2 linked regions of the Rhinolophus ferrumequinum genome follow. The protein of the gene in region 2 interacts with the protein of the main gene of each other region in a pairwise test. Links are inferred from orthologs where the notes say so. Each region holds a gene or a part of one and is shown on either strand. Other genes may lie near its edges. The genes, in order: CEBPE and CEBPG.

Region 1 (15,681 bases), on a different chromosome or scaffold from region 2:
GGCCAGAGTCATGGGCGGGCAGGGGAGCCCCACCAGAATCAAGAGGCTTAGGCTGGGCCCCAGAGCTCTGGGGAAGGCATTGGGGGTGAGGAAAGGGCGGGTACCTTCCCAGGGTCCTCTAAGGAGAGAGCAGCTGATGTTTCCACATAGACTTCAGACCTGTAGGTATAGGCAACTTGACAGCTATTCTGCAGGAGCTGCCCTGGGCTGGGTAGAGACCAGTGGAGACCGTGGAATTGGTGGTCATTGGGCATAGGCACAGTGGAAAACTGCAGCCTTGATGAGCAAGGGGCAGCCGGCAAACATGCTGCCCACTGACACAGGAGACAGGTGAAGTGGCATCTCCTGGAGGAGGTGTCTCCTGAAGGCACTTGTGGCTCTGCTGAGGCAGAACCCAGGGCAGGAGAGTGGGCAAGGGCATGACCCACCAGGCTGGTAGGACACTGGGCACTGACCTGGTTCCCGTGTGACCTTCTTCCACAGAGTGGCTAACCCTGGTGAGCCAGAAGATGTGTGTGGTCGTGTACCCCGAAATGGATGGGAGCTCGGGGACAGATGTGATAAATGAGGACATAGAAGAGCAGCGGCAGCCCATCAACCAACCCATTGTCTCCAAGGCCAAGGACTCAGTGGAACAGTCCTAGCCCTGAGGACCACCATCCCCACTCAGCTGCGTCCTCCCTCCTTCACCTCCTTTTTGCTCTCCTTCCCTGCCTGGGTCCCCCCAACACACACACACACACACACACACACACACACACACATACACACCCTCTGCTTCTGTCAAGCAGGGGCAGGAACTGGGGGTGGGTGGTGAGAAACTATAAACAAAAACACTAACGTTTGTACCCAAAGAACCAGAACTTCACCCCCAGGACCTGTGTCCAAAGCCCAAGGCCAGGGCTGCCAGTGCTCCGAGCTGCTAGAGGAGAGTGGAGCTGCAGGAGTCCCCATAGGGCCCTCCCTCTTGGGCCCACACCCTTGTTGCCTCCTCAGGAGCATGAGTTCAGTACTGCCTTCCTTCCCCATTCCTGAGCCCAAGGGAGGCCTCAGCTCCTCCAGAAGAGGCAGCAACAAGCAAGAGTGAGCCATTTGGGGAGGGACAGACTCAAGCAAATCTGTCACTATTAAAGGTCGCCTGGAGAGACTAGTGTCCCCTCCCTTCACTAGGGACCCAAGAAATCAGAGGCAGTACTTCCTTCTTCCCTCTTCCCAACCCCTCTGCACCGTGCCTCCACCCTCCCCAGCATGGGCTCCCTGTCCAGACTTAGATTCCTGTCAGGACAACCCCCGACTGAGCTAAGGACCAACAAAGCAAAATAACTGCCCCTCCCCTGACGCCCAGCCAGCCTGTGGAACAGATTGGGAAAGGCTCAAATTGCAGAAACCCAGCCCTGCCCCTGCCCCTGCCTCCTGCCCCCAACTGGGTGCCAAAGCTTCCTGAAACCAGAAAGATGTCTCCTAATGACAAAGCAGCTCAGCTCCTCCTCGCTCCCCACCCCCATGGGAAGGAGCAGGCACCCTGTCACTCTGCAGCTATGCTCCCAACATACCCCCACGCAGCCAGCACTGCCTGTGCCCCCGTCAGGCCCTTTTCCTCCTCTCTGGACTTTGGCTCCAGGACCTAGGACTGGGTGTGAAGGCTCCCCAAGCTCTTCAGGCCTGAAACCCGAGCCAAATCAGCCTTAAGTCACCTCCCATCCAAGAACTGGACCTAAAAATACTCCCTGATTTCTAACCTTCAGGGCAGACTTGGTATGAAAAGCTTTTCCAGGAGGAAGGGTGCTTTCCCATCTCCCCGGAAGTACCCATCCCATAACCTCCTAGACTGGGGAGAAAGTGTATTCTGAAGGCCAATTTCTCGCTCCTTCCTCAACTCAGATAACCCCACCCTCTTTTCCGGTTCCACCTCTGTCCTGTCTTTGGACAGCCTCCAGGGCTAGGTGAGAGGGGAATAGCAGAAGGCACCCACTTTGGAGCCCCTTGGAAAGCCTGTTGTCCGTGGTATATGGACTCTGGCAGAGGCTGCCTTTCCTTGTGCTCCAAAGGAAGGAGGCAGTGTTTGCCCTGGGCCTCGAGCCTTCCCCACCACACCTGTTGTGCTAAGGACTAGGATCCTTTTATCCCAAAGCAGGAGTTCCTCCATTCCCCCAACTCCCCAGCCCATCTGCTTAAACTGGAATACTCTGGGAGCCCTCCTGGCCTGCTCAGGTCTCCCAGCTTCTGGCCCAGCCCCCCTGACCCTGCATTGGTGAGTTGCCAGGTGTGGTATGAGCTATGGCCCCTTCAGAGTGGACTCCAGGTGGGCTGGGGCTGGCCCTTGGAGGGTTAGGGGACCATCCTCTTGTTCCCCCTTCTCATTCCTCCAACCTCATTTCCCCCTTCAATTATTGTTGTGTTTTTTTGTTCGTAAAGTGGATGCCTTACTTTTTGGATAAATATTTTTGAAGCTGGTATTTCTATTTCTTTTGGATTTTTTTAATGTAAGGTGGTTTTGGGGAGTAGGGAGTTAGTTATTCCTGGATAATAATCTTCTGTCTTTGAGTTGGTTTAGGTTTTAGAGGGTTTGTTTGTTTTGTGAAGGGTTTGTTTGGGGGGGGCTTTTCTTTTGATGTAATAAAATGTAAAATGGAGATGAAGTCGATGGTATGGTAATTCAATGACCTTCTGAGACAGAGTCGCCAGGTATTTCCTATCTTGTTAGGAGATCTTTGCTTGCCAGATTCCTTCCAGGATGCCATTCCTCAAAGCCCTCGCTCTGTCCCAGCGACCCCGTGCCAGCACTTTCAAACAGCTACCTCTTGTTTTGAACCAAAACTCGCTCTCATTTCTTCCGTGAAGTCACAGTGTTATGACGTTCCTGCTGTGTGCCGTGCAGAGAGCTTGCAGACTAGCCGGCTGGGAAGAACCTCGTCACTACCCAAGGTGGGCACCAAGTGCATGGAGGCAAAGGCAGAGGTGGTCCCCAAGGCCCGGTGGTCAGCAAAGTCTTCTGGTTCCAGGACTGCCAGAGCTGAATGGCAAAGGAAGGGACAGCCTGAGTTTGTGCAGAGACACAGAGGGGGATCTTGGAGAGCACCCAGCTGGGCCCAAGAGCTTGAGGGGAGGGCCTGAGAGGTGACGTGGGGTCTACTTAGCTGGAGTCGACTTCCGCAAAATAGGAAGATTTCTAGGTGGAAGAGTAGGAGGACTTGTACTAGCACAAATGAAGAAGTGGTTAAGGTAGGGGCTAGGGCCTCCCGATGCTTTGGGTTAATTGCTAGAGGAAGTTGACAGGATTAGACCCTGTCATTGCTTGGAGTCCCTCCTTTGTGGGCATCCCTCCCAGCTGCCTATCCTGGGACGGCATCATCCCAGAGTCAGCACTGCTGGAAGCCACGGGCAGGAGGGGGCCCGGGGGTGGAGGGGGGTTAAGACATCACCCTTCACACCTGGGACACTGTGAGGACACAAGCAGGCAAGATGCCTCCACTCGTGTCCTCCCGACCCCAACACTCCTACTTTGCGGTTGACGTTCTAGACTAAGGTTGGAGGCTCACCATTCACAGGGGCACAGGCTTGGCTCTGAATCCCAGGTCAGCCACCACACAGCGATGTGTCCTTGGGCATGGCAACCAGTTTGGCACTTTTAGAGGGCAGGGGGAAGAGCATTGAACCTAATTCCAAAGTGTTCCTCAATCTCCCAGCCCAAGGTTGTCCCAAAAGAGTGAGGGCAAAACTAGGCAGAGGCCAGTCTTGTGCAAGAGACCCTTCTCTAAGTCTCATGGCCACCCTTTGGGTTCACCTCTTCCCCAACAAACACTTTTCCTTTCCCTGGGCTGCACGAGGTCTTCTCCATGTCACCTCATTCTGGCAAGTCCGGCAAGTCTCCAATCTCCTCTCCATAGAGACACTTGTCCCTGGGGGCCCGCTCGCTCGCGCGCTCTCTCTCTCTCTCTCTCTCTCTCTCTCTCTCTCTGTCTCTCCCCCTTTCTCTCTCTCTCTCTCTCTCTCTCTCTCTCTCTCTCTCTCTCTCTCTCTCTCTCTCTGTAAGGTGACACTTGCTGATCTTTTCAACTTGGTCAAATGGGCAAATGTGGGTCTCCGCCTGAGCAACATGCATTTATTTTTAACCTGGGCCTTTCCCCTGTCTTAATCCTATCAGTCGCTTTAATGCTAGGAACTCAGATACTCAGACCTCAGGGAACTTGGGAGCCTTTTGGAGGTCACTGAAATCGTAGCTGCTTAAGTATTCATTAATTAATACAGTCACACAACAAATCTTTTTATAACCATTGTGTCCAGGGATTTTGCTATATGCTGTGGAACAGCAAACTTACTCTTGAATTTTTCAACTCAGCACAGACTTCAAATATTTTGTTTCATTTTCCCCATAAGAATATTCATACACGTCAAACCACCTGTCCCTAATTTTAATTCGAGCATACGGTCACTACAGCTAAAAAGGTCCGAAAGATGTATCTGACCCTACCCTCAAGGAGCAGATAGTCTCCAGGGGAAGAAGGCAAGAATGCTCATAGCACAGAGACGCGTCCTTACCGCGTCACTCACTGGCCACTCCTGCTGGACCCAGGGGCTGAAGCTGCCAGATCCCTAGAGCCTGCATAGGGCCTGGTACCTAAGTGTTCAAAAACATTTGTCAAATTAAGGCATCAGATGAGGCTGCAGACAGTGTATCTGCTTAGGAGACACAGATAAACCACAACAGGTGGTCAGCGGAAAGGCAGAAAGAGACTGAACATTGCTTTCTGTACATTATCTTATGAAAGTTTAATTAAACAACCTGACAAAGTAGGCACAACTACTGCCATTTTACAAGATTAAGTAACTTGCTCAAGGTCACCGAGATGATGACAAAGGCAGAATTCGAGCCCAGTTCTCTCTGACATTACACGGCCATGCTCAGCCACCTCCCTGTTGGAAAGACATGGTGAAAGGGATGGCCTTTGAACTGAGGCCAGTGACAAAGTAAGATAATACACGTGCATTGCTTCAATTAATGCAAACAGGTAGCAACTGCAGGGGCAAGATCTGGCTGACCAGGGAGGCTTTCTTTCTGCTCCTGAGCGACTATGCAGAACCCAAGAATCCCCCAGCCCTTGACTGGCACTGCCCTCCCCAACACCCTTCCTACCCAGCAACCCCTTCTCCCCTGCCCAGACATCAGAGCTTCTCCTGCCCAGCCAAACCCCTTGGTTACTGGGAAGCACTGATGTCAGTGTGCCAGCAACCCCGTCAGCCACCAGCCTGGGAGGTGAGGGACGGAGATCACTTATCTCCCCATGGCCGGAGCTGCCTGATTTTCTCATTTCCTGCCAGCTCTATTTGCACACCTCCCTGCTTCCTCCAGCGCTGGTTCACTCACTACTGACGCAGTCTCCCTCTCCCCCAGGGTGGCTGACTGAGAGCAAAGAAGGCTCTCTGAATCACACAGCTCTCCCTTCCTTATCCCTTCTTGCCTTGGGGTTTCAAGAACTAGCCATGGCCCTTTCCCCCAAGATCAATGCTGTATCCTTGTATGACCTTGGGCTTCAGCCTCTCTGCCTTGTTTTCCTCATTTATAAGGCAAGGATAAAAATACTGTCTGTCTTGCTTACCTTCCTACTTAACTCACAGGGAAACTGTCAGCATGGAAAAGTATGTTTCAACGATGGAAAGCATCACACCAGAAAATGCCAGGCTTTCGCTGTCATCACCAGTATTTCACAGTTGGGGAGGGATAGGATTTCTCACTGAGACAAAGCCCGGGCCCCAGTCTTCTCAGCCTGCCCACTCTCTCTGTGCCTGCACTGCAAGCCCTCATCCCAGCCATGTTTCCTCTTCCTCCTTCCCTACAGACTCAGCCTGTCTCGTGGGTGCCAGGGCTGTGGGAGGCTGCCCTCTGTTGTCCACCTGCTTCCTGGCCACCGCGGCCCCTCAAGTCCTCAATTTTGGACCAATATTGTCACCTGGTGGTCAACAGAGGCACTGCTGCCAAACTGAAGTAACTTGGCTGTGGTACCTGTCTGCCCAGGGTCCTTAGAAATCAGGAGAAGGCGGAAGAAATCTCCCCTCCTGGTTCCCGAGATCTGTCTCTGGGATGCACACAGATCTTCCCATGCCAAGTCAGGGCTTTCAGAGAAAGAACCTCAAGCCCTGCACAGAAAGCTCCTGGGGTAGTGCGGGAGGAGAGAGGGAGGGAGAGGATACTAACTAGAGGGGTAACTTGCCTCACTTGTAGGCAGCCCTGTCTACATTTGCATACTTTCTTTTAGTGTTCAATGCTACACATATCCCCTCTGCATTTGCCCCGCTGTGGCCTGGCCCTTGGTGTGCCTACCTTATAAAGCCTTCCACCTCCCTACAGGGTACCCACAGCAGTTGCTAGTGACAAAAGAGCCAGTGATATATTTCTATGTGTCCTTTCCTTGTCACTGGACATATAGTTCCTTTTATAGTAGATGAAATTCGACAAGTGAAAGCAGGGTCACAGCCAGTGCCTCTGACAGAAGGGAGTGGGGAGTTCCCAGAGAAAAAGAAAAGGGAAGGAAGAGGGAACCCAGCATGAGACTAAAAGTGCAGAGAACAAGCCCTGGGATTCTCCTGTAGACCCTGAAACAGAGACCCAGGAAGAGGTGATGACAAAAGACAAGGCTTCTCAAGCCTCACAAGAGGAAGTGGACCCAAGAGACACATCAAGGTCAGAGAACAGCCATGAAGAAGGGAAGACAGCAAACTGAGCTATAGCGAGTGCCTGAGCCCTGCGGCCGGGCACAGGAAACTGGGCAGAGCCCCAGGACCAGAGCAGGGCAGTGCGCCAGCCTGAGGCTCTGGCAGCACAGCACAGCTGGAAGAGAAAGGCACTGGAGCCACCAGAGGAGTGCAGTTTTTGGTTCCTGGGGCAGCAGCCTGCCTGGGCCTGGGGCACAGAGCCCAAGTCCTGCCCAGGGGCTTCAGCCAAGCCAGGCACTCAGGGACAGTGCCAGGCTGCTAGAGCCAGCCAGGGCTGGCAACACATGAGGGTTTGGGCTATTGCACAGATCTTGTGCAAAATCTAGCAAATAAGCATGCTCTACGCCACAACACATGCCCCATGTATGGCTTGCTCCCAGAACTTATCACGACTTCCTAGACCCCTTAAACTCCCCCTGGCATGCACCCAGGAGGATGACCTGGGAGGTGGGGCTACAAAAGGAACGGACTGCCCCTGGGTGGGGGGGGGTGGAGCCCTTGGGGGTACAGAGAGGGAGGCGTGTCAAGGGAGGAGCTCAGCCCAGGCTGGGGGTCGGCACTGTAGGAGGGTGTTCTCCGTTCGTTCTGACTTGCCACCTCATTCTGCAAAGAACTTTCTGGAAGTCGGAGGGAGGAGGCTACTCAGAGGGAGGTGTTGCCCTCGGCGAGGACTCTGGAATCCCCTGGACTCGACAGGGACTGGAGAGGCATTCCCAGAAGCATCAGCTCCTGGGAGGTTCAGAACTCTGGCTTGGACCCTGACCAAAGCGTGCCCCAACCGCTAAATAGTCCGGGGCCCCATTTCTCTAAGGCCTGCATCCTTCCCTCGGGGTGCGCCCTGCCCCTCCCTGAGTCACCCCAGGGAGAGAGGGGGAAAAAAACGGAAGAGAAAAGAGGCATTGACTACAGGGGAAGGAAAAGGAAACAGCAGAGGAGGGAGGAGAGAGGCCACACAGGAGTGGGTGACAGAGGAGACCGAGAGGGCAGATCTAGGGCAGATCTAGGGCAGGGGGAGATAGAGAGAGGGCAGGCCAAGCATCCCACGGGTGCCCCAAGAGCAGGGCTCAGGGGCGGGGAGCCCAGGGGGCGGGCCGGCCATGTCCCACGGGACCTACTACGAGTGTGAGCCCCGGGCTGGCCAGCAGCCACTCGAGTTCTCAGGGGGCCGCGTGGGGCCCGGGGAGCTGGGGGATATGTGTGAGCATGAGGCCTCCATCGACCTCTCGGCCTACATCGAGTCTGGGGAGGAGCAGCTCCTCTCCGACCTCTTCTCTGTGAAGCCAGCACCAGAGGCCCGAGGCCTCAAGGGCCCCGGAAACCCTGCCTTCCCCCACTACCTGCCGCCTGACCCACGGCCCTTCGCCTACCCTCCACATACCTTCGGCCCCGACAGGAAAGCGTTGGGGCCTGGCATCTACAGCAGCCCAGGGAGCTACGACCCCAGGGCCGTGGCCGTGAAGGAGGAGCCTCGGGGGCCCGAGGGCAGCCGAGGGGCCAGCCGAAGTGGCTACAATCCTCTGCAGTACCAAGTGGCACACTGTGGGCAGACAGCCATGCACTTGCCCCCAACCCTGGCAGCACCCAGCCAGCCCCTGCGCGTCCTCAAGGTAAGAGCAGGTCCATTCTCCTTGCCTTCCGGGGGGCTGGAGAGCTTCCTGCTTTAATTCTTAACGGGTCTGTGTTTGGTGTTGCTCTGTGAAAATGACCCACCCCGAAGCCCTCTGTGCCCACCACCCAACCATGACCCTGCTTTGCTTCTCTGTGAATTCACTCCCACGCTGAACCCCACTGTGTCCTGCAATCCCTGTGAACATCTGACCTACTCAGACCTCAGCGCCCCCACCATCAGCTTCTCCGCTGCCCACCAGCCCCCTGCTCTTGTTTCTCTACCTCCGGCTTCACGAAGGGGAAATGCCTGCTGATCATAGAACAGGAGACTGAAGTGTCCTCAGAGAGCGTGGGAACACGAAAGAGAGTTGTGGTCAGAGCAGGGACCCCATGCATCTGGCAAAGCAATGGCTGCTTTGACTGGGAGCCAGGAGCTGGCTCTAGATCCCATGTCCCTTGGATGCCCAAGGGAGCTCTGGCTTCAGGCATTCCTGCCCTGTCGCCACTCCGCTTCCTGGCCAGCCCTCACCTCTTGTGCTTCTGTACCTTCCCCTCCAGGCCCCTTTGGCCGCTGCCGCACCGCCCTGCAGCCCCCTTCTCAAGGCGCCCTCCCCAGCTGGCTCCTCACACAAGGGCAAGAAGGCGGTGAACAAAGACAGCCTGGAGTACCGGCTGAGGCGGGAGCGCAACAACATCGCCGTGCGCAAGAGTCGGGACAAGGCCAAGAGGCGCATTCTGGAGACGCAGCAGAAGGTGCTGGAGTACATGGCAGAGAACGAGCGCCTCCGCAGCCGAGTGGAGCAGCTGACCCAGGAGCTGGACACCCTTCGCAACCTCTTCCGCCAGATCCCGGAGGCCGCCAACCTCATCAAGGGTGTGGGCAGCTGCAGCTGAGCCCAGCCGGCAGACTGTGGGCACCAGCCCCCTGGCCCAGCCTGACCCTGGGGACCCCCACCCTGCTGGGGTCCCAGAGCCCCTCACAGGCAGAGCCTGAGACATAGACCATGGACAAATGGCAGCGGGTGGCAAGGGAGGAGGGCAGGCCTCAGCATTATGATTCTGTGGCTGAATAAAATTGCACTATGACTCAGTGCTGGGGCTGTACTGTGTGTGTGTGTGTGTGTGTGTGTGTGTATGTGTGTGTGTGTGTTTCCTTGTGTGGCATGGGGGACTCCAAGGGCATACATGTAGCTCTTGATTCCATACCCAAATGAATATTTGGGAGTATTCCCAAATATTCAGCAGACTTGCTACCCACAGATCTGCCCCCAAGAACTCCCCTGGCCAGGCTGTGAGCCCGTCACTCTGTTCTCTTCTCTCCTCCCCACCACTGACTCTGTTCTCTGGACACTGAAGGCACCTCTACCCCCACCCCACAGGACCTGGAGCAGCCTCTGATTACTGTCCTAACAGAGCTCTGGCTTGGAGGGAGATCCGGCACCACCCAGTCCCTTCTGCCCAGGCCTGCTGACCCCAGCCTCTCTCTCACCTTGAGGTATCAGTCTGGGAGCTCCTGTCCCAGGTGACCAAGGGAAAATTGCACATGGCTCTGCCGTGGTCCCTTAGCTCTTAATCCAGCCTCGATCCCTTTTCTTCAGATCCCCAGCTTCAGTCTACCAGACTGACATGCCTCCACGGCTCCTTTCCACCCACTCCCATCTTTGTCCCTTATCCCCTGGGACTCAGGTGCCGTAAAGCATGAGGATCTGGGTGCTTGTGGGATGAATCTGTTGGGAAAGGCCTTGAGTCCTGTTTGCATATGAGAAAATTGATGACGAGGAGGATGACACCCACCTGTGCCAGTGAAACCCCATGTTGAAAGCGTTTGCTTTATCACGGAACTCTCGCCTAAGAAGCAAAATAGTACAATGCTTGACAGCCTCAGTTTGAAACTCACTCTGCTATTTATTAGCTGTGTGACCTCAAGCCAGTTACTTCTCTGTGTGCCTCAATTTCCTCATCTGCAAAATGGGAGTATTGCTAGTCCCCACCTCATAATGCTGTTATGTTTACAGATCAACAGAGCCTGGCACAGGGTCAGCATGAATAATTGTTATTATTCCATTTTGCTAGATGTGAAAGGACCTCAGAGATCTCATCTAAACTTCTCATTTTGCAGGTGAGCAAAGTGAGGCCTCAGAGAGGGGAAGGGACCTACCCGGAGTCATGAAATTGGTTAGAAGCAGAACCAAAACTAGCTCCATAAAATCACAGATCTCAAGAGGTGCTGGAAAAGACCTCAAGAGATCATCCGGTAGGCTTTACCCTCAGACAAGCAAGATAGTGTGAGCCACATTTTGTAGATAAAGCAGTTGAGGGCCAGAGGGGATAAGAGATGGTCTCCTGAAGCTCACTCAGTCCCTTTGCTGTCAGCACAGGGCACCTGTCTCTCTCCTCGGCTCTCACACCTCCCCTCAGAGGTGTACAGCACACAGTGGGGCACCTGAATCCCATTCGTACGTTATTGGGAATGCCAGACAGAGACAAGGCAAGAGGCACAATTCAGGCTAGTGACAGTCTCTCCTAGGTCACTAATGACTTGTGGGCCACTGCTGAGAAAGCCTGGGAATAACTTTCTGAGAGACAGAGAGCCGGGGGCCTGGGGCCTCCCTGTTCTCTCGCTCCACATTCCCAGTGTGGGAATGTTCCCATACCCCCAGGCATCTGTGTGCACCATGCCTGCCTTACACAGGGCTCAGTCTCTTTCCTGCCTTTACCTCCCTGTCTCTCAGGCACCATCTCTCCTACATCTGTGCCCTGGATCCCCCGCCCCAAGTCTGGTTTGGGCAGACAGATCTGAACCTCCCTAGGTGGTTTATTCCCTCACTTGCCAGGGGCCGCCTGAGTTTAGAAGGGGGAGGTGCCAGTCTCTGTGGATGCCTGGGAGAATCCTGCACCTTCCTTTCAGCCCAGGGGGATGGGTTGCACAAGGGGGGTTTGTACAGAACATGCTGAGTGACTCAACCTCCGGATTTCCTCCTCTCAGCTCAAGACCACTGCCCCTTGACTTATTTTCAACCCCATGCTTCTTTCCCACAGCTCTGAAGTGTGTCTCCTCCCAGCCCCCACCGCCCCATTGGCTCCTCGGGACAGGTGGTTGGCACCGGGACTGGAGAAGAGCCACAGCCCAACTGGGAGAGAAGGACATGCCTGGCCCCAGTGGGACGTGGAGTGACAGGCACACCTCAGTCCTCTGTGGCAGATCATATCCCGGGGAGCTGACAGGCAGCCAGAAGCCACACTTTCGGAATGAGGCTTTTAACCTGACCTAAACTGGTTTCAGCCAAAGTAACTTATTCAACAAGTATGTGTTGAGCATCTTTCCTGTGACAGACCCTTGCAAAGTATCCAGAGCCCTGCAGTAACCAAGACAAACCCAGCTCTTAGCTGAAGGGGCAGGAAGAAAAAGGCAACAAACAAGGGTGCTGAGTGCCTTCCTCTGCACCTCCTTGGTCATACTGCCGTGTTCCAGGTGGGACAGGAGAGTGAAGTTTAGTGCTTGTCCCCACCCCTCCCGGACAGGACTGGACTCTCCACAGCTCCCCCCGGCCCCACTTCACCACTCCTTGCTGCCTTCCCTTCATCCTGTTCCTTCACATCTCTATATAGCACCTTAATTAAACTCACTAATTACTCCATTTGAATATGCCCATTAGGGAAAACACATAAACAAACAAGTAAGGAGGCTATTTTAGCTGGAGTGGTCAAGGAAGGCCTCTCTGAGGAGGTGACTTTTAAGCTGAAACCTAAAAAACTTCAAGATGGAGGCAGATGTGCCAAATTAAGGGGAACATGAGCAGAGGGGAGAGCAAATGCTAAGGCCCTAAAGTATATGGGTCGGGGTGGAGTGGAACGAGAAAAAGAAAGCAAGCCCAGGGGAAGCTGGCAGGATGGAAAGGAGCAAAGGGATAAGCAAGTTGTGAAACTCTGCTCATTCCTTCCGCTGGGGAGAACAGTCCCTAAGAAGTTGGGGTGGGATGAACAAGCGGGCATATCTCTGCTCCCACCAAAGGCAAAACAGATGGCAGAAAGGAGGAGTCCCCAGGAAGGGAGGGCAGTTAGCCAGCCCTCTGCCTGGGGAAAGGCTGGAGGCCTGGGGATTCGGTAACTTGGGAAAACCAGCCAATCAAGGTGCAAATAGTACACACATGCATTCCTATTGCTTTACAATCCACAGCTTGGGCCCGGTTTTCCTTCATGAGCCAACCTGGGCACCAGGATGAGAGTCCTGAGCTGACAGATAGGATCACAGGCCCCAGGGAAGCCTCAAAGGAAGAAAGGCTATTTGGAGATACCACGAAAAGGGAGGAAGCTGCCCAAGGTGAGCCTGCCAAGGTCAGTCCGTGGTGGAGGCTGCTTGTGAAAGCCGCTCTCCCTGCTCCGTGCACACCTCCCCACCGCACCCCACCCCCATGGATTGCCACATGCCCGGGCCCCCAGGGCCCCCATCCCAGTGTTGCAAGATCCCGGTTGGGGTTGTGGGGGTGGAAAGGGGCCTCTTCACCTCCACCCCCTACCCTGCCCCAAGCCAGTGAGGGGACTACGGGATGGAAGGGGCAGTAGAGGAGATGCTGAGGCAACAAGAGCCAAGGATGGCTGAGGGCCTGTGCACCTCCTCTTCCACAGGCCAGTCACTTCCCATTACCCTCAACCTGCCCCTAGCAGGCAGACCTCTCTCCTCTCAGGACTCAGCCTGGGCTGCTCCAAAGTGGGAACGGTCCAACCTGGATAGGACTCCTGGCTGGCTTTGTCAGCTGCTCCTATAAGCAGGTCTGGCCTGGCCTTAGAAAAACTCTAGTGGCACATAAGAAATTCTCCAGAGCTACCCATGGGGAGATGGTGGGTATTTTTAAAGGAAAATGGCTGGAACTGGCCACAAATTCTGACTTCAGGGAGCAGCGGGAAGGTCCTGGGACTTGGGGAAAAAAAGGCTGCCTAATAGGGAGAGACCCACCTCCAGAGCTGTAGCCTCTTCTCTTGTAGAAACAGAGATCTGAGGTAGGTAAGGCAAGCCATACATAGATTGGATCCATCCCCCATGTCCCATCAGCCAAGCTTTACCCCTAACCAAGCCCCAAACTGTTCAAACCCTGTTGCCCCCACACCTAGCACTGTCCCCCTGGCCAGGCCATCCAACCCTGCTGCAATCGGGACGGTTTGCAAAACGCCTACTAGCTCCCGCTTTGTCACCATCTGAGGTTAGGACTGTACTTGGGAGATAAGCCCAGGCCCCACCCGCCTGTCCCGAGTGAGACTGCCGGCCTGCTGCAATCGGGACGGTTTGCAAAACCCCTGCTAGCTCCAGCTCTGTCACCATCTGAGGTTAGGGCTGCACCCCAAGATAAAGCCGAGCCCCGCCCACCGGCTCTGCCTTCAAACCTCACAAGCAGCAAGCAGCACGGCCAAGAGACGGAACTCCTGGGAAGCCCACTTAGGGTCTGGAAGCCTTACTCAGGCCCAGTGAACAGCCCTGGTCCTCTCCTCACCTCTTCTCCCCTTCATCCCTAGCCTCACGGTCCCCATCACTGTCCTCTCCCCTCACTCTCCATCTACTCGCCTCACCTTTCCTCCTGCCTCAGCTCCCTCCTGCCTGCCTGCCTTCATTCATTCTTTGGCTTAAAAAATACTTCCCACCTACACCTACTCCAGGCCAGGCACTTTGCTTGTTATGGGAACTACAAGATAAACAAGGAGCATGGTCCCTGCCCTTGGGCTTCCCAATTCGTGTGGGGGGGGTGGGGGACGGGGACAGACAAATGGAATCTCTCAAATAAATATATAATTCTAAACTGTGGGCAGTGCTGTGTGGCAAAAGTAAAAAGATGACTGTGACCGATATTAACAAAGGCACTTGATTTAAATGTGTGAAGAAAGGCTTCTTTGAGGAAGTAACATATAAGCAGGTATCTAAAAAGCGAATAGGAATCAATCTGGCAAAAAGTGGAGTTCCCAGCAGAGAGAAGTGTGTGCAAAGGCCCCCAGCTGCAGGTCCTTCCCAGTCACAGGGGCTGGGGAGGTGCAGGCAGACGAGGCCAAAGGTGGGGAGCTGCCGTCAGAAGGGCTGAGGGCACATCTCGCTTGACGGGATCTCGGTCATCAGAGGAACCACCTTCCAAAGAAGAGGACATTCCTCTTCCAACAGGAAAGAAGGGATGGCCGCAGACAGATACCGACGCAGACAGGTTTGCAGCAGGCTGAGGCTGGCTTCTATTTCACCATGAAAGAAGTGACTGAGCAGCAGGCTCAGAGAAGGAGGCTTGAAGTTCTGAAACACTACTTGATGAGAGTGGAAGAGGGAGCTGATTGCTGAGATTTCTGACTTGGGAGCACCCAGCTGAAGACAATTTGACGGTGACAACAATCTGTCCTCTGGGGGGATTTGCTTCAGTGGTCCTTTGCTGCTCGGGAGCAAGTGGGCTGACCCAGGGAGATGAGACATGGAGATGAGACAGCCTGGGAAAGGGGAGCTGAGGGCACTTACAGAAGCGGGATTTAGTAGTGAACCTGGAACCTAAGGCAAATGGGGAGAGATGAAAAGACAGGAAGGGCCAGTGGTTATTCATTGAGCTCGCAGAACAGCTTGAGTGAGCAGACTTGAGCAAACAAACCATAAGGAAAGGAGATCATATCAGAGAGGGGGATGTTTGATTCAGTTATTTCATAGGTGCTGCAGTTTCTGGTGATGATAAGGCTCTGCACATGACTCTGGAAGTGGCTTGCTAAGGTGGAATGGAGAGGAATGTGAGAGATGAAAGGGGGAAGGAACTGAGAGGTCAGCATGGATGAATGGAGCAGCCATGCGGCTGACACTCCAGCTGGGAGGACTGCTCTGCTCAGCCCCTTCTCTCCGCCTCCCACCTCCTACCTCCTCTTTCACCTCCACCCTTCCTCATCAACACCCTCTTTCCTTACCCCTCTCTAACTTCCTGTCTTCAGGCCCATTCACACCTTCATGCCTGTCCTCTCTCACTTCCATCCTCCTGTCGAACCCCACCCTCTCTTATCACCTCCATCCTCTCCTTTCCCATTATCTCTCCTTGGCTCCACCTTTTCTCCTCACCCTCATCTTTCTCATCCTGTTCCTCTCGCCACAGCTTTCTTTCTCCTCCATGCTGTGCACTTGAGAATCACTCTTGCATGGTGAATTCAACCCTGTGCTCCGGAACCTAACTTTGTGGATTCGAATCCCACGTTTACCACTACCCACAATGACTGATTTTGCTGTGCCTCAATTGTAAAATTGAGACAATAATAGCACCTATTTTGTAAGGGTGCAGACAAGATTACATCAGTCTAAAGTGCTTGAAACGATGTCTGGGCACAACGGAAATGCTCAATAGAATGATTAGTATTCTCATCCTC
Region 2 (16,705 bases):
AGGGAACTAGGGCAATTACTGACATTTTAAGAATTATTGAAACAATTTTAAAGTTTTGATTTATGTTCTAAAAGACATAACTAATCCTTTTTTCATTTTCTATTTTTTTTTTTTCTTTTGGGAAGGGCTTCAGTGAATTTCAAGGGCAGACATTGGGCTCACAGACTGTTCAAGTCTAATTAATTAACTGGTTTTGCCCACAACAGTCACACCTGCAAAACACTGAGGTTGTAGCTAATCATCTGAGATTCTCCCACACTGAACTAATTGCACACGCCCTTTTGGGCCATGACAGATATATGTACAGGTTGAATTATAAGAAGGGAAGGCACACCCCCAGAGGGAAATCAAGTTTTGTTTGTTTGTTAGTGACTCATCACTTTAGCCATGGATTCAATATTCAATATCTAATGTAAAACATTAAAAATCCTGAGGTAGTACCTTGAAGCAAAAATACACAAGTCAGGTTAACCAACTGCGTTAGCATTTTTGTACGAAAAATTAGATTAGAAAATCCCACAGCTGGAAAAAGCAGTGGTGGAAAGATCCCCACCATGGTGTGGCTTAGAAATCCCTGGGTGAGCAAATCTGAGGGGGCTGGGTGGTAGGTTTCTTTCAGTTTATGATCAACAGGAAGCTGAAGGCCAGTCAGCTTCGGGCGCTGGAGAGGTCCACCCATGGTGGGGACATTCACATGGATTGTTCACTGCATTAGAGCATGCATCCAAAAATGAGCACAGAATTTATGGTAATACTTGCGTTTAACTTAAAAAAAAAAACCCAAAAATTTAACTTAAAATTTTTTTTAAGTTTTAAGTTTTTTGGGGTTTTAAAAAAAAAACCCAAAAGTTTAACTTAAAAAAAAAAATCCATGCATTGATAAACTTTGAAAAATAGGATAATAGAAAAATACTTGACCTTGAAGCCTCTCTTGGAAAAAGGACACATTACAGCAGGTTTTAAAAACTACTGCAAGCCTTATCAGAGTCACAGTTGAGTAGTGGCATGCAGGTCTGGAGTACAAATACAAAAGTTAAGTGTCAGAACAGGCCCTGGCATGCCTCATGCACCATCAGACGCATCTCTTCTTTGGCACAGAAGTTTGGAATTCACTGTTCCAAGGGGGGGAAAAAAAAACAACCACTTGTCAGTCCAAACCCTGGACACTGATACTGGCAGCCAGCTCAGTGATCATTTTCATGTGTGACTCAAATGATTTCTAAAAGGCAAGACAGCCTTCTCTGTGAGGCTCAGGTACCGACGTCACCTTCCAAAGGTGCACCTTCCAGCCCTGTTTCCTACAGGTTATCAGTGGTAATCAAGAGGAGTCGGTTTCTTTGGAGACGCCCTGTGTGAGGTAAGAGAGAAGGGAGGAGCTAAAGGAGGGCCTACGAACACCAAAGCAGGCCAAAGGAGTGATTTCCACTTCATAGTCATTGAGGATTCCAGGAAAATCAAGTGGTTGAACTTGAAGGGCTGAGACTAAGTGCAGTACAGTCATCAGGACCTGTGATTGTCTAGGGCCGATCTTCCATTTTCCAGGGCACAGTGGCCCAGGTAAAACTGAAGTGGAGCAGTGTGTGCCCTCTCCTTAGAGGACCCCACAGTCACCAAGCCCTTCTGAGGTGGGGCCAGGGCAGCAGCTAACTCCATCTCTGAGTTGCCCCACGAGTTTGAAAGTGCCTCCAGACCTTTGCCTTCACTTTTTCAGCAATCAGAAAAAGAAAGTCACATGAAGAATCAACTGCTGATGAAAGGTTAATTTGTGGGCGGTCCTCATTATCCTAGAATAAATAGTAGCAAAAAGAAAAAAAGGAATTGGAGTGAATCGACTTAAAACAGGAACCAAAATTTCATAGTATAGTGAAAAAAATATGATTGGGGCTTTGCCTTGAAAATTAAACAAGTGTTACAAAGAGTCGGTTTTTTTTTTTTTTTTAATTTATTTTTAATTTAAGAGTCGGTTTTATATTTCAGAAAACTTGGGTGATAACTGCAATTAGGCACAATTAAAATGAACAGAATGAGCCAGGTGTTCCGTTTATGGTTTGTGATGATATTCTATAGATTTCCTTTCAGGCTTTTGCAATGTGATGACAAAGAGGGTCACTTTATTAATTTTCCCAAGAGCCTCCCTTTGCTCTTTAACTCATTTTCTTTCATATCAGTATCCTTTATCCACCGATTTCCCTTCCTCAGGGGTTAACCTGTCTGAATCTTGCCCTATCCACCTCTGTCAATGTCTTTGCTTGTAAGTAAGACAAGCCACCAATATGACTTTCACAGACCGTGTGAAATCTGGCCTTTTCTGCAGCTTCACTTCATGGTAGATCTGCTGTTTGTGTATTCTATTCCACTGACCCCTCAAAATGGATCCCTTATTGGGTTAGGAAATGTGTAAGTGAGGGTTAATTTTAACCATGGCCAATTCATGAAGCATAGTCATTCATATTTTCATGTTATGACTCCCTTATGTCTCCTGAGCAACTTCATAAATATCAGGCTTTAGATAAAGAAATCTCCTTTTACTTCCCCGAAAGGAATGTTTGCCCATTTATTCTTTTCCAATAACACAAGCCTTTAAAACTATGACTTTTCTTGAGTAACTAAAGCTTTGACTATAGCCGCAAAATTTAATATATACTGTCCTCATAATTTTCTAAACATAGCTGAAATTGCCATTTTTATTATATCTAAAATTTATTATACCCCAAAGATTTTTTTATTGCAGTAACAATGGTTAATAACATTATATAGGTTCCAAGTGTGCAACATTATAATTCGATATCTGTATACACTAGTGCATGCTCACCATCAAAAGTCTGGTTTCCATTCATAACCATATATTTGACCCCCTTTACCCATTTTGCCCTTCCCCTACTTTCCTTCCTCTCTGCTAACCATCAGTCTGTTGTCTGTATCTGTGAGTATTTTTGTTGTTTCAGGTTCCACACATGAGTGAAATCATACTATACCAAAGTTATTATTTTTTCCCATTGTAACTAGTAAGTATCTTGTGAGGAGATACTTGGAGAATATGTAAATATCCTGTTTCTCATGCTTTCATCTGTTGATTTTAACATTCATTGACGATTGATACCTGCAACAATTATTCCTGCAGTGTTTGTCTAATGATAATTGGCTATTTCAGTCATTTTTCTGCATTTATTAATTGGAATTTGCTGTAAGGAAAAGCTGTTTCTTCTCTGCTATTTATTTGTTTATTTAGTAATTTATTTACATCAGTATGAGCTCATAGATATTTATTTTATTCGGCACGTTATCATTCATTACTATTATTTATTTTGTGACTCAAATTGTCCCACATCTAGCCATTGGGAACTTCTTCAAATTAACTTCTATGTTCTTTTGAAATGTCCCCATCATTTTTTGAGCATTTCTTTACTTCTGGCACCATGAAATGTGCCCGATTCTTCTTGTCTTTTCTCTGCCCATCTCTGGAAACAACCAGCTCTACAAGAAGCCCTAGCTCTTCTCACTGTAAAAAGATATTTAGAAACCCTGATTTGGTCTCTAGGTGGGATCGTTGCTACTGGGGTGTCATTGCTTCTAAGTCCTCTCAGAGGACAAAGCTATATATACCATATGTATATGTATATATATAGTCTGTCACACGCACACATCCATATTTATTTCTACTTCAATCTGTGTATATACTACAGTCGATTTCATTCTGATAACCTCTGTTTCCAATTTAATACCACAGGGTTCACTGTAGTCTTCCTCTTTCCTTATTTGTTAACTCCTTTCTCCAACAGTGGGAAGCTTGCTCTCATTATCCAAATGTATTTACTTATTTGCTCAGTCCTAGCATACACATAAACTAGTTCCAGAATTGCTACCATTCCCCTTTGAAAAATTTCGTAGCTACTGCCTATTATTTGTGGTTCTTTTTCTAGTTTGCCTTATCCAATCAAAATGCTATTTTCTAAAGTTACTCAGGTTAGTTCCTCTCTTCGCCACAGTGCTTATTTGTTCATTTGCAGTGCAGTTAGGTTCGTAGGTTACTGCTTGTATTTCACCTTGGGTTCCTCCCACATCCAAGTTAGTGTTCACTATTTATTTCTGAGGTGTGTGAAACCTTACCATGGTTTCAGAGTCAGAGCTGTACAGAAAGGTATACTCACAGAGGTATCACCGTCCCCCTCACCTCTGCTACCTTCTTCCCACTCCCCATTCTTTTGATCCAATTCCAACTCACCCTCTGTAGGTAACCAATCTCATTAGTTTCTGGTTTATTTTTTCACGTATTTGTTTTGCGTGAGGGATCCCCTATCCAATCTTGACGGCAAATGAACAGGTACAATGGCCAAGACCTTAAAAGGACATGATAACAAAGGGTAGAGATTTCTCAAGGATGAAGGTGTGGGTCACCCCAATAGGTAAGCTGCTTAGGCCAGAAGAGTGCTAGCCAACAGTGAGGGTGACCTAGAAGGGGGAGTAGGGGAGGCAGGTGATGAACATCAGTGCGCCTTGGGGCCAGCAGCAGCCATCGTTCATCCGCTAGCTATCTTCTGGCAAATTTCTCCAGCACAGGAGACCATCCAAAACTCCGGAGAAGCTATTCACAGATGGGATTAACTTCTTATAAGTAATAAGTGGATTCAAGCAGTGCAAGAGGTAGACTGCAATGGACGCCGTGGTGCACCCCTACTCAGGACAAAGTCTCTCATCCCCTCCAGCTGTGTTTTCTAAAACCTCATACGTACACGACACAGCAGTATGTATGTAAAACAGAACCTTACCTTTCTATAAGAACAGAGTATGACAGACAAAAAAATAGCAAAAAGCACACCATAATGTATATCTTAATGTTACATGTATGCCATGAGAAGAAAGAGTAAGGCCAGCAAGAACTTGAATAGTCAGCAAAGGCCGAGAGTTGAGACTTGGCTTGGGGCTTGAGGCATGGAGAGGAACTGGCTACGTGGAGCTGAGAAGGAGTTGTCCGCCAGATAGCACGCCAGAAGTAGTGGGCATTCGTAGCTTTCCTCAATTGTTCTCCACTTCATACCCCGCCACCCCCCCCCATTTCTCTCTGCCCAAGACACACTCTGATCTCATAAGCTCTTCAGGCTGCTGCACCTTTGGCTTTACCCTGGTTGAGGCAAGATAAGGCTAGAAAATTTTTGAAAGGACATTTACTGTTTTGGCTCTGAAGTTTGCCCAAGCCTTCCCACCTGTGGCTACAGTAGGTCTATTTAACAGTGACAGAACAAATCTCCAACCTCCATCACCAGGTATTTCTTGGCAGCTCCTGGGACCCCACTATAGTGTACCGTACCATTGGTATCGCCTATCATCAAAGTCTCTGGAGGACAGGCCCCTTAGCACGGCCTCTGCTTCAGCTTTTTTTTCTCCAACTTGTTGCCCATATGCCAAAGGGGGTTGATGCCTGAGGTTCACAAAAACACAAATCCTAGAGACGTTAAGCAGTTCTGCATTCACTTCAGTTCCTACCAGGCTGAAGAAATGGGGTGGTTCACAATGATGGGGGAAATGCCACTCTCTTCATAAGGACTACAACAGCGCTTGTCCCTTCAAATCCTAGCTTTCCCCCAAAAAACCTTTGCAAGGGAAAATGAAACAATCTCCACCTTCCTCTTCCAGCCCAATTCCCCCAATATTTATGTGAATGGATGCTGGTATCTCCACCCACCACGCCCAAGTAAATCTGAATCCACGTTTAAGCTTGCACAGGAACTGATTGTTACTATAGGAACCTAAAAAAAAAAAAATGTAAAAGGAAGAATCCATGAGAAACGCCTAGAAGATTCCTGACTCTAAGCCAACAAATTCAAGCACCACCCAGCCTGGTGGTGCTTTCTTGGCCTCCTTCTCATAGGCTGGGCACCAGCCTCCCACTTCCCCAGCCCCAGTGCCTTGTTCTGTAGGACTGCCAGCGCTTGGGACAGTGCTTGGCACAGAGTGGGGACTCAACTAATAATTGAGACAGATGAAAAAGAATGCAGGAGTGAGTACATGGGACAAGCACATGCCTCTGTCCAGGAAGCTTTCATTTCCTTCTCATCTCGGCCTTGCAGCTCCCAGAGATTGACCTGGCATGTGGACCTTCTGAGGACGGGTCCCTCAGTAGCCCAAAGATGACTCCCAGGGCTTCCACATCCTCTGGCAGCCCCACAGTGCTGTCCCGCCGCCTCTTCTTCCCTCTTTGCCACCTCCTCCCCTCCTGGAGGAGTCCCTGCAGTCCTGTTCCCCCGCTCTCTGGCTCCATTTCTCTGCATGGCTTGGGTTTGCCTGGCAGAGACACAGTCACCAGTAGTGAGCAAGGTAGGACTTGCGGCTCAAAGCTTTTCTGCGCTCAACGTCCTTATCAATTTAGCTGAAGTCTGTGCTGCCTTTGATTTGTTAATATTTCAGAGTGTTCTGTTTTAAGTTAATGTTAACCCTGTAATGTATCTCAAATGCTTTTTTTCTCCCCTAAACAGATTTTATTTTTAGAACAATTTTAGTTGCAAAATATTGAAAAGACTGAGATTTCCCATTTACCCTGCACCCAGTATCCCCCATTATTAACATCTTACATTAGTATAGTATATTTGTTACAATTAATGAGCCAATTAATGAGCCACAATACCAAATAAATTAAAGTCCATTCTTTTTTTGGATTTCCTTAGTTTTTATCCAATGTCCTTTTTCTATCCCAGGATCCCGTTCAGGATACCACACTACATGTCTCCTTAGGATGCTTCAGATGGTGACACTTCCTCTGACTTTCCTTGTTTTTAATGACATTGACAGTTTTGAGTAGTACCGGTCAGGTGTTTTGTAGAATGCCGCTCTATTGGAATTTGTCTGGTATTTTTCTCCTGGTTAGACTGGGCTTATGAGTTCTTGAGATCAAAGAGGTCAAGTGCCATTTTCATCACGTATCAACATGGTGTATGTCTATTGAGTGAACCTTGGTCACCTGGCTGTAGCAGTGTTTGTCAGGTTTCTCCACTGTAGAATTTCTCTTTATTTTTCCCTTTCATGCTCTGCTCTTCGGAAGGACGTGCGGGCCACACTAAAAGAGTGGGGAGTTATTCTCCCCCATCTGAGAAGAGAGTATCTACATAAATTATTTGGAATTCTTCCGCATGGGAGATTTGTCTCTTTTCTGACATTTATTTACTCAATCATTTATTTATATCGGCATGAACTCATGGATATTAATTTTATACTTTGGGTTATAACCCAATATTACATTATTTATTTTGCCACTCAAATTGGCATTGGGGCTCTTTGGACACTGGGGCGGGGCTCTCTCATTTAGCTCCTTTGACATCCTATTATGGACTGAATGTTTGTGGCCCTCCCCACCCCATGTTCATATGTTGAAGCCTTAATGCCAAATATGATGGAATTATATTTAGAAATGAGGACTTTGGGAGGTAATTAGGGTTAGATGAGTTCATGAGGGTCCTCTCATGATGGGATTGGTGCCCTTATAAGAAGAGACACCAGCTCTCTCTCGCTCTCTCCTCCCTGCATGTACACAAAGAGATCATGTGAGCACACAGGGAGGTGGTGGCTGACTTTCCAGTGGGACACTGTGCTTCAGCCACTCTGGCCTTAAATTTCTCCCATCACAAAGACCTTTAGGTAAGACATTCCCTCTGACTGGTACATTCACTTCATGGGTATCACTTAGACAAATCCTATTCATCTTCTTTTAGGCCTTCCCTGACCTACACGCCAGATTTGATTCCTTTCTTATAATCTCTAACAGCATCTTGTACTTCTTTCTCGTAATATAGTTAACAGAAAAAGTGTATAATTACTGCATGTCTGTCTCTTTGGCTCTAAAGTGTAAGCTCCGTGTGGGAAAGGGCTGTGTTCGTCTTATTTGTTGCTAAATCCCCACAGCTTAGCACATAGTTGGCACACACACACACACACACACACACAAATTGTAAACCAGCAGAAGACAGAATTCCCAGCTGAATAGGAAATACTCGTCTCCTTGGCATTGACTAGACCTGCTGAGTGTGGGAGAAGGCTTTCCCAGACAGACGAAGAATGCTGTGCCAGCTTGGCAGAGTGGTTAGCAAACAAGAGAATAAATGAATATACCAATACAATTTTTTTCCTATACAATATTTAGGTGATTAGGCAATGATCAGGGTAAAATTACGATTTTTAAGAGTACAAAATATAATCCAATTTTAATAAGCTAACATTTTGATCAAAGAAATTTCAACTCAGAACAGAGGGCCAAAGTGAAAGAAGCATACTGGTTTTGTTGATGTGTTACTCTACCAAATACGCTTCTATGTTTATCGTTGTTCATATTTAGTTGCAGTCCTTTTATTTTTATTTTTTGCAAATGTTTTAGCATGTCTTTTCTGATTCCTCGAAACAGTCTTAGGCACAAAGCTGGTCCCATGGCTTGGGCGATGAAGAAATGTTTCCTCTTTCAAAGACTATTTTTTGGACGATAAGAATTGCTAAAGAGGAAACAATCAAACCTATCGGGCGAGCGGGCTCTGTCCTCCAGCCAGCGCGCAGCTTCCTGGTTTTCAGACGCTTTCAGATCCTCCTGTGAATTGACTTAGATAAACAAAGTTGGAGAGCCATTCATTCTTTGAGATCACGTCTCTCAATCTGTTCACCTGGCAGACACCACACGGTAATCGATCATGGAAATTCAATTCGTTTCCTCCAATAACGAACCACAGTCTGCAGTGTTCACCAATGTGATATCAACACTAATCATAGTTGGGACAATTTTGCTTCCTTCGTTTTTCAAGTCCACAGTTGTCTTCATAGCCGTGAGGTCCAGGACTTCTCTCCAGGTTCCATCCGAGGGGCCCGGGCCCGTCGGAGGTCAGGCGTCAGCGGCGGGCCCCACATCCTGGGAAGCGACTCTAGTGGGCCGTTCTGGGAAACTGTCCCTGTGAGGGACGCCCCAGGACCTGGTGAAACCAAAAAAGAACTCGGTGATTCAATCATCTTAGGATATTGCGCTTTCCAAAGATAAGTGTTGCCTTCACAAAGCTACGCTTCTCCAACTTCCACAGAGCCTTTCTTACAGCTGGGGTTTACCCCTCCGGGCCGCCGGCCCACGCGAACAGCCGAGGGACCACGGGCGGCGCTGCGAGTAACCATCTGCTCCCGCCACGCCCGCCAGCCCCACCGGCCGAGGCCAACGCCTCCGCCACGTGCCCGCCTCCCGCAGCCAGGCCACCCACGATTGGCTGGCGGCGCTGCCCGTCGCGAGGGGTGGGCGAGTCGCCTGCAAGCCGGCCCTCCCATTGGTCGTGGCGGCGGCGGTAGCGCGCGCGGCCCTGGCGACTAGGGGAAGCCGGTGGCGGCGGCGGCGGAACGGGCGGAGGCTGCGGGTTTCGTAACTATTGCTCCTCCTCGCTGACTCGTGGGCTGCGAGGCCTGGGTCGGGTCGGGCCGCGCCACGCGGGGCCGCTCGGAGTGGAGGCCGCCTGGGGGCGGGCGGGCCGGAGGCTCAGGTATGGAGGCCGCGGGCTGGCGGGCGGGCTGAGGGAGGAGGAGGCCGCGGCCGCGCCGGCTGCTCGCGTGGGCGCGGGCCCGGCCCGAGGAGACCTGGCCGGGTCGGAGGCGGCCGGCTAGCCGGGAAGGCCCCGCGCGGCCCGCGGCGCGGGCGGCGGCCCCGCGCGGCGTCTGATGCAACCTGCCGGCAACACCCGGCGGGGACGCTGAGCTCATCCCTGGCCGCCGCCCAGCGCCGCGGCGCCACCCGCGGACCCCGGGCGCCCCTCTCTCGGGCGCCCCTCATCGCCGGCCCTAGACGGGATGAAAGACGAGGGGCGCCCACTCCAAACCCTGGCCCTCTGTGAAACGTGTAGTTGTGACAAGCCAGGCTCGTATTGGCCCCTGGGGATAAAGGGTGTTCCCAGAATAGCAGGAGGTGGACCATATCTTATTTTAGTATTACATGGGATGTTTTCTGACCCGCCAAAACGGCTCAGTGTGGAGTCGTCGGGAATTCTGTTCAGAAGTTAATAGAGTGATAAAGTAGCCAGGGGAACCAGTGGATGTTTTACCTACGTGACTTTACAGAAATACTATTATGCTCACTTGTGGAGCTATAGTTTGAATACCCTGCAGTTTACTGTTGAACATAGGTGAGATGAATGTGCAACAGCCACGAGTTGAATAGTAAAGAGAATGGCAGGAAATGAATTGCTTCCTTAGCTCAGTGGAGGGAACACAGTAAGGAAAATAGCCAGGAGAGGTGTCTGAGATGGAGAGGATGGATTAGCAGGTTTGAGGGGAACGGGAATCTTTTTTTTCCCCAGTAGGCTTGTATGTTTGTTTTCTTCAGAAGGTGTAACTGTTTGGTTTTCCTCTTGTCTGAGGTTTATGCTTAATCTGGCATCTTAAAATGTGTTAGTTTCAGAAAGGTTTTAACATTTGTGGGTTGCACAAAAATTGGTAGTTCTGTCTCTGAGCCTACACTCAGTTGAATCCTTATTTGAAGAGATCGTTCTTTAATTCAGATAGGCTATGTGACTCCCAAAGAAATTTTTGAAGTAAAATACGATAAACGCTTGATGTACTAAGAAACTCTGCATCTAAAAGTTCTTCATATTTAAAAGTTAACATCTGGTCAGTTATTACCACTTAAGTAATATTTGGGATAAGCTATTCTTAAAGTTGAATATTTTTGGAAGAATTTACTGTAAACAAGGTTAAATAATTATAGAATGCTAGGGAGCTGAATTTTTCAGTTTCTTGATTCCTGCTTCTGGTGGGCACACGTGGCTGATTCAGTCATTTTTAATATCTGCTGTAAAAAAAAAAAAAGTGGAAGCCTGCATTTCCCCCCACCCCCAGAATATCCTTTAAATTCTCAAGAACACATCATGACTGTCAGCAAGGTTGTCTGATCATGGAGAGGTGGTTTCATCCCTAGGGATTTAAATAGCACATGGGGAGTCCTTGGTAAAGACAAATAGGACCTCATGGGGCTGAATTTGGTCTTATGTTCTAAGATTGTCTCACCTGATCACAGTAATGGTGAATGCACGTAGCCGCAATTCCAGGTTTATTGTGTATTCTTGGGAGGGGACACTTCGTGGGTTCTTGTACTGGTAGGTACATTGATCTCCTACCTTTTTGGCTTTCCAGGCCTATCAATAAAAAAAAAGAACATGACCTACTAACAGGTGTATATTTATAAACAATGGGTGTAGACTATTTTTTGTATGTTGTAAATCAAACCAAAAGTGGATTTAAAAAAGGACATTAAAAAAAGACAAATGAACATACATTTGTTTCTCATACTTATGTACTCCCTGAAGGGATGTACCCTCTTTCATGGACCCCTATTTTGGGTCATGAAGCAAGCAGTGGTAACTAAATAGAAATACTGCTCATTTGGGTGTCTGTTGACTTTGCTTGCTTTTGACTTCACTTGTAGCACAGAGTTGTCAGATCCTGGCAACACATGTCTAAGAACTTGACATTATTAATTGGAAAACAACCGGGCAAAGTAGAAAGTGAAGGCTCTCAACTGACATGAAGCAAAGACCAGACAAGAATGAATACAGTCACTGTATAGACTGGGGACTTGAAGTAGCAAATGGAACTAACTGTGTTTTTATTTTCCTGTACACCTTTTAAGAAAGACCAAGAACTTGAGGTAGTAAGACCATGGTATCCTAATAACTCTTGATTTAATTGCAGTTGTTTTAAGAGATTTTAAAGCTAGAGAGTCTCATTTTCATAAGACATTTATAAAAATATGTTTTCTCTTAGCCTTTTGATCCTGTATTCAACAAATACTTGTTGAGCACTACAAGTATTTTGAGCACCACAGGGATATTATATACCTAGCCCTGCACCAGATTCTGGGTATGTGGAGATGAAGACAGTCTTGCCTCGAGGTTAGTCTACAGGGAGACACGCTGTAGGGCTGGTGTTGACAAAGAAATGGGGGGAACGAGCTGGACAGAAGCACAAAGAGAAAGCACGGACCATTTAGGGGACTGATAGTGGTTTAGTATTGTTAAGGTGTGAAGTGTAAGGGAGTAGGGATTGGAGAGAGGGTTAATACCTTGGATTTGATCCTGTATGTTGGAGCCAAAGAAGAATTTTCAGCAAGAGAGTGTGACACACTCAAGTTGGAGTGTTAGATTGCTCTGGAGACAGTGTCTGGAGGGATCACTGAGAAACCAGAGGAGACTAGTGCCCCTGAGAGATGATGTCAGCCTGAGGTAATTCTGTGGCATGGGGATGGAGAGGGATGGTGGATGTGAGGTTTTTTGGGGGGTGGAGTGGGGTCGGTAGAATTGTCCTGTACCAGTGATTGAACAGAACTGGAGCAAAGGAGAAACATCTATGAATATTTTGGAGTATAGACCTTCACTGAGGAAATTTGAATGAAAAATTTATTTGGGGGAACCAGGGAGGAATATTTGGTTGTGTACGTGAAAAAGAACGACAAGGGGATTAAGGAAAATTCTTTTTTTTTTTTTTTTAACTTTTTTATTTTATTTAAGTGTGTTTTTCCAGGATCAGCTCCAAGTCAAGTAGTTGTTTCAATCTCGTTGTGGAGGGCGCAGCTCACAGTGGCCCATGTGGGGATCGAACCAGCAACCTTGTTGTTAAGAGGCCCCACGCTCTAACCAACTGAGCTAACCGGCCGCCCCAAGGAAAATTCTTGACGGGTTTATTTTCCCAAATGGAACTTGAGAAAAATTTGATTTTGTTTTACATTCTAACATCTTTGTGTTCAGCGTGCTACTGATTTGAATGAGCATTACTTGAATTAGGAAAGCTGAAATTTAAAACAAGTTGCCCACGTAGTCCATCTTTCTTAAGATCTATTGTTAATCTGCAGCAGTGGCTCCCAAACTTCAGTTTCATCCGAATCTCTTGGAGGTCCTGTTAAAACAAGTTTGCTCGGCCCTATTCCTGATTTCCTAGATCTGGGGCAGCCTGAAAATTTGTACGTCTAACAAGTTCCAAATGATGATGTCACTGGGTCCAAGGACCACGCTTTGAGCACTACTGCTCTTCAGTTTTTCTATTGCTTCCTGCTTGAGTGATTCACATGGAAGGAAACAAGGCGCCACCCTGCTTCCTGTAGACTGAACTTTGTAATAAATAGTATTTGTCCGCATAGGAACCAGACTTTCATTTACAGCTGAATATCCAGATTTGAAATTAACTTATTTTTTTGCACGTGGTAGGTGCTCAAATGTTTGTGGAAGGAACAGAAGCACAAATGGCAGTGTAAACTGTAAAATGGGTAACTTTTAGAGGCAGCTGTTTGCTCAGTGTAAAAATAAAATTGATAATCTGTTTGGACTTAACGTCTTTCAGACCACTTAGTTCTCCGACTCTTTTTACTTGGTTCATTTTCCTTAATGACTATCTCTTCACTTTATCTTGGCTTCTCTTTGGTTGAAGAGCTTTTTAAAAAAAAATTTTGGAGTTTTTTAAATTATCTCCACGTTTCCCTTTCTTACTATTTACCAGTTTGACGATTCTTTGTTTTTCAAGACAAAGGGCTCATTTTCAAAACCTCGCCTACTATGTTCAGCCTAGTACCTTGGCAGGATGGGTCAGACTGACATAAAAGAGCCCTACCCTATCTTTGGGTACAAAAATGGGCATGAACATCACTGAGTTTGGAGTTTCACAAGAGTTTTTAGTTACTGTATGAAGTTCATGCTATATTGTCAGAGTTGGAAGGCATTTTACCATTCTACATCCCCCATTTGCAGAGGGGGAAATCGAGGCTCACAGAAAGGAAGGGATTTGTCCAAAGTGAAACAGAGAGCCAGAGCCAAGACAAGGATTGACCTGTTTCCTAGTTTGTACTTTAGATCACTGTTATCGCTGAGTTAACTATAATAGAGATTCGCTTTAAAGACTAAATGTATAATTGGTATATGAAAAATAAAAAAGATAAATAAGATAACATGATTGTAATTGTTAAGAGGATCCCAGAAGAGGTGTTAAATTAAACGAGTTCTTAAAAATTGAGTAAAACATTTAAGTTCCCTTTACACCAAATAGGTAAGCAATAGTGCAGACGGTTCGTGGTAAAGGTGGCTCAAATTAATACTCAACTGCCAGTTAACTGGGTGAAAAAATAGACAATAAATTATCAGGAAATTGTGAAGTGTCCATTGCTGAGGGTAGATTTGGAGTATATATCCATCGTGGCTTGGAAGGAAGCTTTCTGTCTTGCCATAGTACTGGAGTGAGAACAGATGACCCATTAGCTCAGGACTGCCTGCATGGCTTTAAAAGCACTGGAAAGTAATGCTATATGGACTTTTTAAAAGCAAAGATTTAAAAAAGCAGGCAAATAGTGTTTATACAGAAATGCCTGGCTAAAGATTTGGGTGAAGCTACTGGTGTTTACTAACAGCTTTTCTTAGCTGTGACGAGCTCATTGAGGCATTTCATAATTGTGGCTCCAGGTTGTTTTCCATGATGTAGTTTTAGTAGTTTTGTGAAAAGAGAACAGAATAGTTTTATGGTTCATAACACTGCTTTCTAAAGTTTTAAGAGTGCTGTGACTTCTTGGTAGACACGGTTCTCTCAGCTTAGTAGTCAATTTGCCTTGGGATGGCTTTATGATGATAGGATCGGTATGGCTTTGACACATCTTGAGGCAGTTGTAGTGCCCTAGCTGGTTTATAGTAAGGCAAGTGTGACTCGTTTCTGAAACTGCCTTCATTTCTGCAGGCCGCATTGCCGTCACATGTCCTCTGAGCGCCTTCAGCAGCATGAAGTGGGGGCCGGCTCTGCAGCTGCCCGCTCAGTCTAGCCCCAGTCCCGGTACTTGCACTCCCTTGGATGCATCATTAGGGCTTCTGTTTCTTTCCTCGTGGTTTTAGGTTGGCGGCATAGCTGTGTTTTTGAATTGTGTCAAGAAGAAAAAAACACTATTAGAAGCATGGTGAGATGGGAAAGCAAATTGGGTGCCTTCAGCAATCCTAAAACTGTGATCCAAGGAGCTAACTTAGGAAATTTCTGTAAACTATCATTTGAGGTCATTGAAAAAATAAAAACAAGTGAAAATACCTTTTCAAAATATCCCATAAAGATTTGCTCTGGGAGAAAATTTTGGCAAATCCTTGATGACTCACTCGCTGCATATGGGAGTAAGGAACCATGTGGCCATCACAGCGTTCCTGATAAATACTGGGCGCTGGGCTCCCCTACAGCAGGATTCTGTTTGACTTGAATCAACAATTGAAACTTAGCCCCCTTTCACTGCAGGTGTCTATTCTATCATAATTGAACTCAACTTTTCCATGTTTAACCCAAACATCTCAAATTTCTCTGGCAGATTGCCAAGTGCTCTTAGTTCATATGTGCTACCTAATTAGTGGTATTCTTTTGTTTTCCCTCCCATTTTTGAAAACAATCACAGATGGGCAGTACCCTCAGGGGTTCAGGTGGGCTGAATTTGGCCCGGTGGTGCTTCTGTACTAACCTACCTGTCTCGATTAAATGATTTAGACTTCTGAGACACTGCAACGGTTGGCAGTTGCCGTAGACTTTTCTCAGCATAATCAATCAATGTTGGTCTGCCATTAAGTACATGCAAGTTTAATCTCATTTGATCTTGTCATTTCAAATATTTTAATGCAATTTATTCCTTAACTAGGTATATGTGAAGATTTCTTGGCAGTGTAGAGTGGAAACCATTGATCACCTTGCCCTCATTTCTGCCTATTCTGTTGGCAAGGGAGAGTGCCCAAATGAGCAAGATATCACAGCAGAACAGTACTCCTGGAGTGAATGGAATAAGTGTTATTCATACTCCGGCTCATGCCAGCGGCTTACAGCAAGTTCCTCAGCTGGTGCCCGCTGGCCCTGGGGGAGGAGGCAAGGCTGTACCTCCAAGCAAGCAAAGCAAAAAGAGTTCTCCCATGGATCGAAACAGTGATGAGTATCGTCAGCGCAGAGAGAGGAACAACATGGCTGTGAAAAAGAGTCGGTTGAAAAGCAAGCAGAAAGCACAGGATACACTGCAGAGAGTGAATCAGCTCAAGGAAGAGAATGAACGGTTGGAAGCAAAAATTAAATTACTGACTAAGGAATTGAGCGTACTGAAAGATTTGTTCCTTGAGCATGCACACAACCTTGCAGACAACGTGCAACCCAGTAGCACTGAAAATATGACAAATTCTGATAATGCAGGACAGTAGACCTCACCCCTTCCAAACTTCACAACTTGTGGCTTGAACGTTGAAGGTGTGACTGCACCATTCATATCAATGGCTGACCACTGTCTTGTTCCTTTATTCAAAGATCCATTGAAGATTGTTTTCTAGGATCAGCACTGAAGAGTTGATTATCTAAAAATATTAGCCATGTAATTCGAGTATCTGGTTTTAAATGATACGGATTTTTGTGGGGATAAAGAAACAAATTTTTAAGGTATATGGTAAAAAAAAAAAAAAAAAAAAAAAAAAAAAAAAAAGCCCTGGACCTTGATGTTCTTAATAAATCTTGACTTCCTAAGAAATGCTTTTTTAGGTTGGCAAAAGGAATGGGGAACTGGTAGGGCATGCCGAAGGTTCTTGGTTGGTTTTAATGGATATGGTTAGTTGAATTAAGAAAAGTTGAATGCCATCTGTTAATCTGTAATTTTATTCTAAGTTTAAGTAGTACAAATCCTTAGGCTGTAGAAACCAATTACTTTGTAATTTGGAGTGATTTTATGTATAGCATA

Evidence for each region.
Region 1: the proteins of CEBPG (region 2) and CEBPE interact in a two-hybrid assay, tested with the Homo sapiens proteins (2 studies listed by BioGRID and IntAct, with this or other methods). The link is inferred for Rhinolophus ferrumequinum from reciprocal best matches to the Homo sapiens genes CEBPG and CEBPE.

Annotation. Positions count from the first base shown.
Region 1 is NC_046289.1:73,645,331-73,661,011, reverse strand, and holds CEBPE (CCAAT/enhancer-binding protein epsilon), read left to right. Parts: upstream 1-7,242; 5' UTR 7,243-7,808; coding exon 7,809-8,318; intron 8,319-8,877; coding exon 8,878-9,213; 3' UTR 9,214-9,412; downstream 9,413-15,681. Other genes in the region: SLC7A8 (large neutral amino acids transporter small subunit 2), read left to right, coding at 484-644. UniProt on the Homo sapiens protein: Transcriptional activator. C/EBP are DNA-binding proteins that recognize two different motifs: the CCAAT homology common to many promoters and the enhanced core homology common to many enhancers.
Region 2 is NC_046298.1:34,550,811-34,567,515, forward strand, and holds the start of CEBPG (CCAAT/enhancer-binding protein gamma), read left to right. Parts: upstream 1-9,290; 5' UTR 9,291-9,488; intron 9,489-15,634; 5' UTR 15,635-15,728; coding exon 15,729-16,178; 3' UTR 16,179-16,705. UniProt on the Homo sapiens protein: Transcription factor that binds to the promoter and the enhancer regions of target genes. Binds to the enhancer element PRE-I (positive regulatory element-I) of the IL-4 gene. Binds to the promoter and the enhancer of the immunoglobulin heavy chain.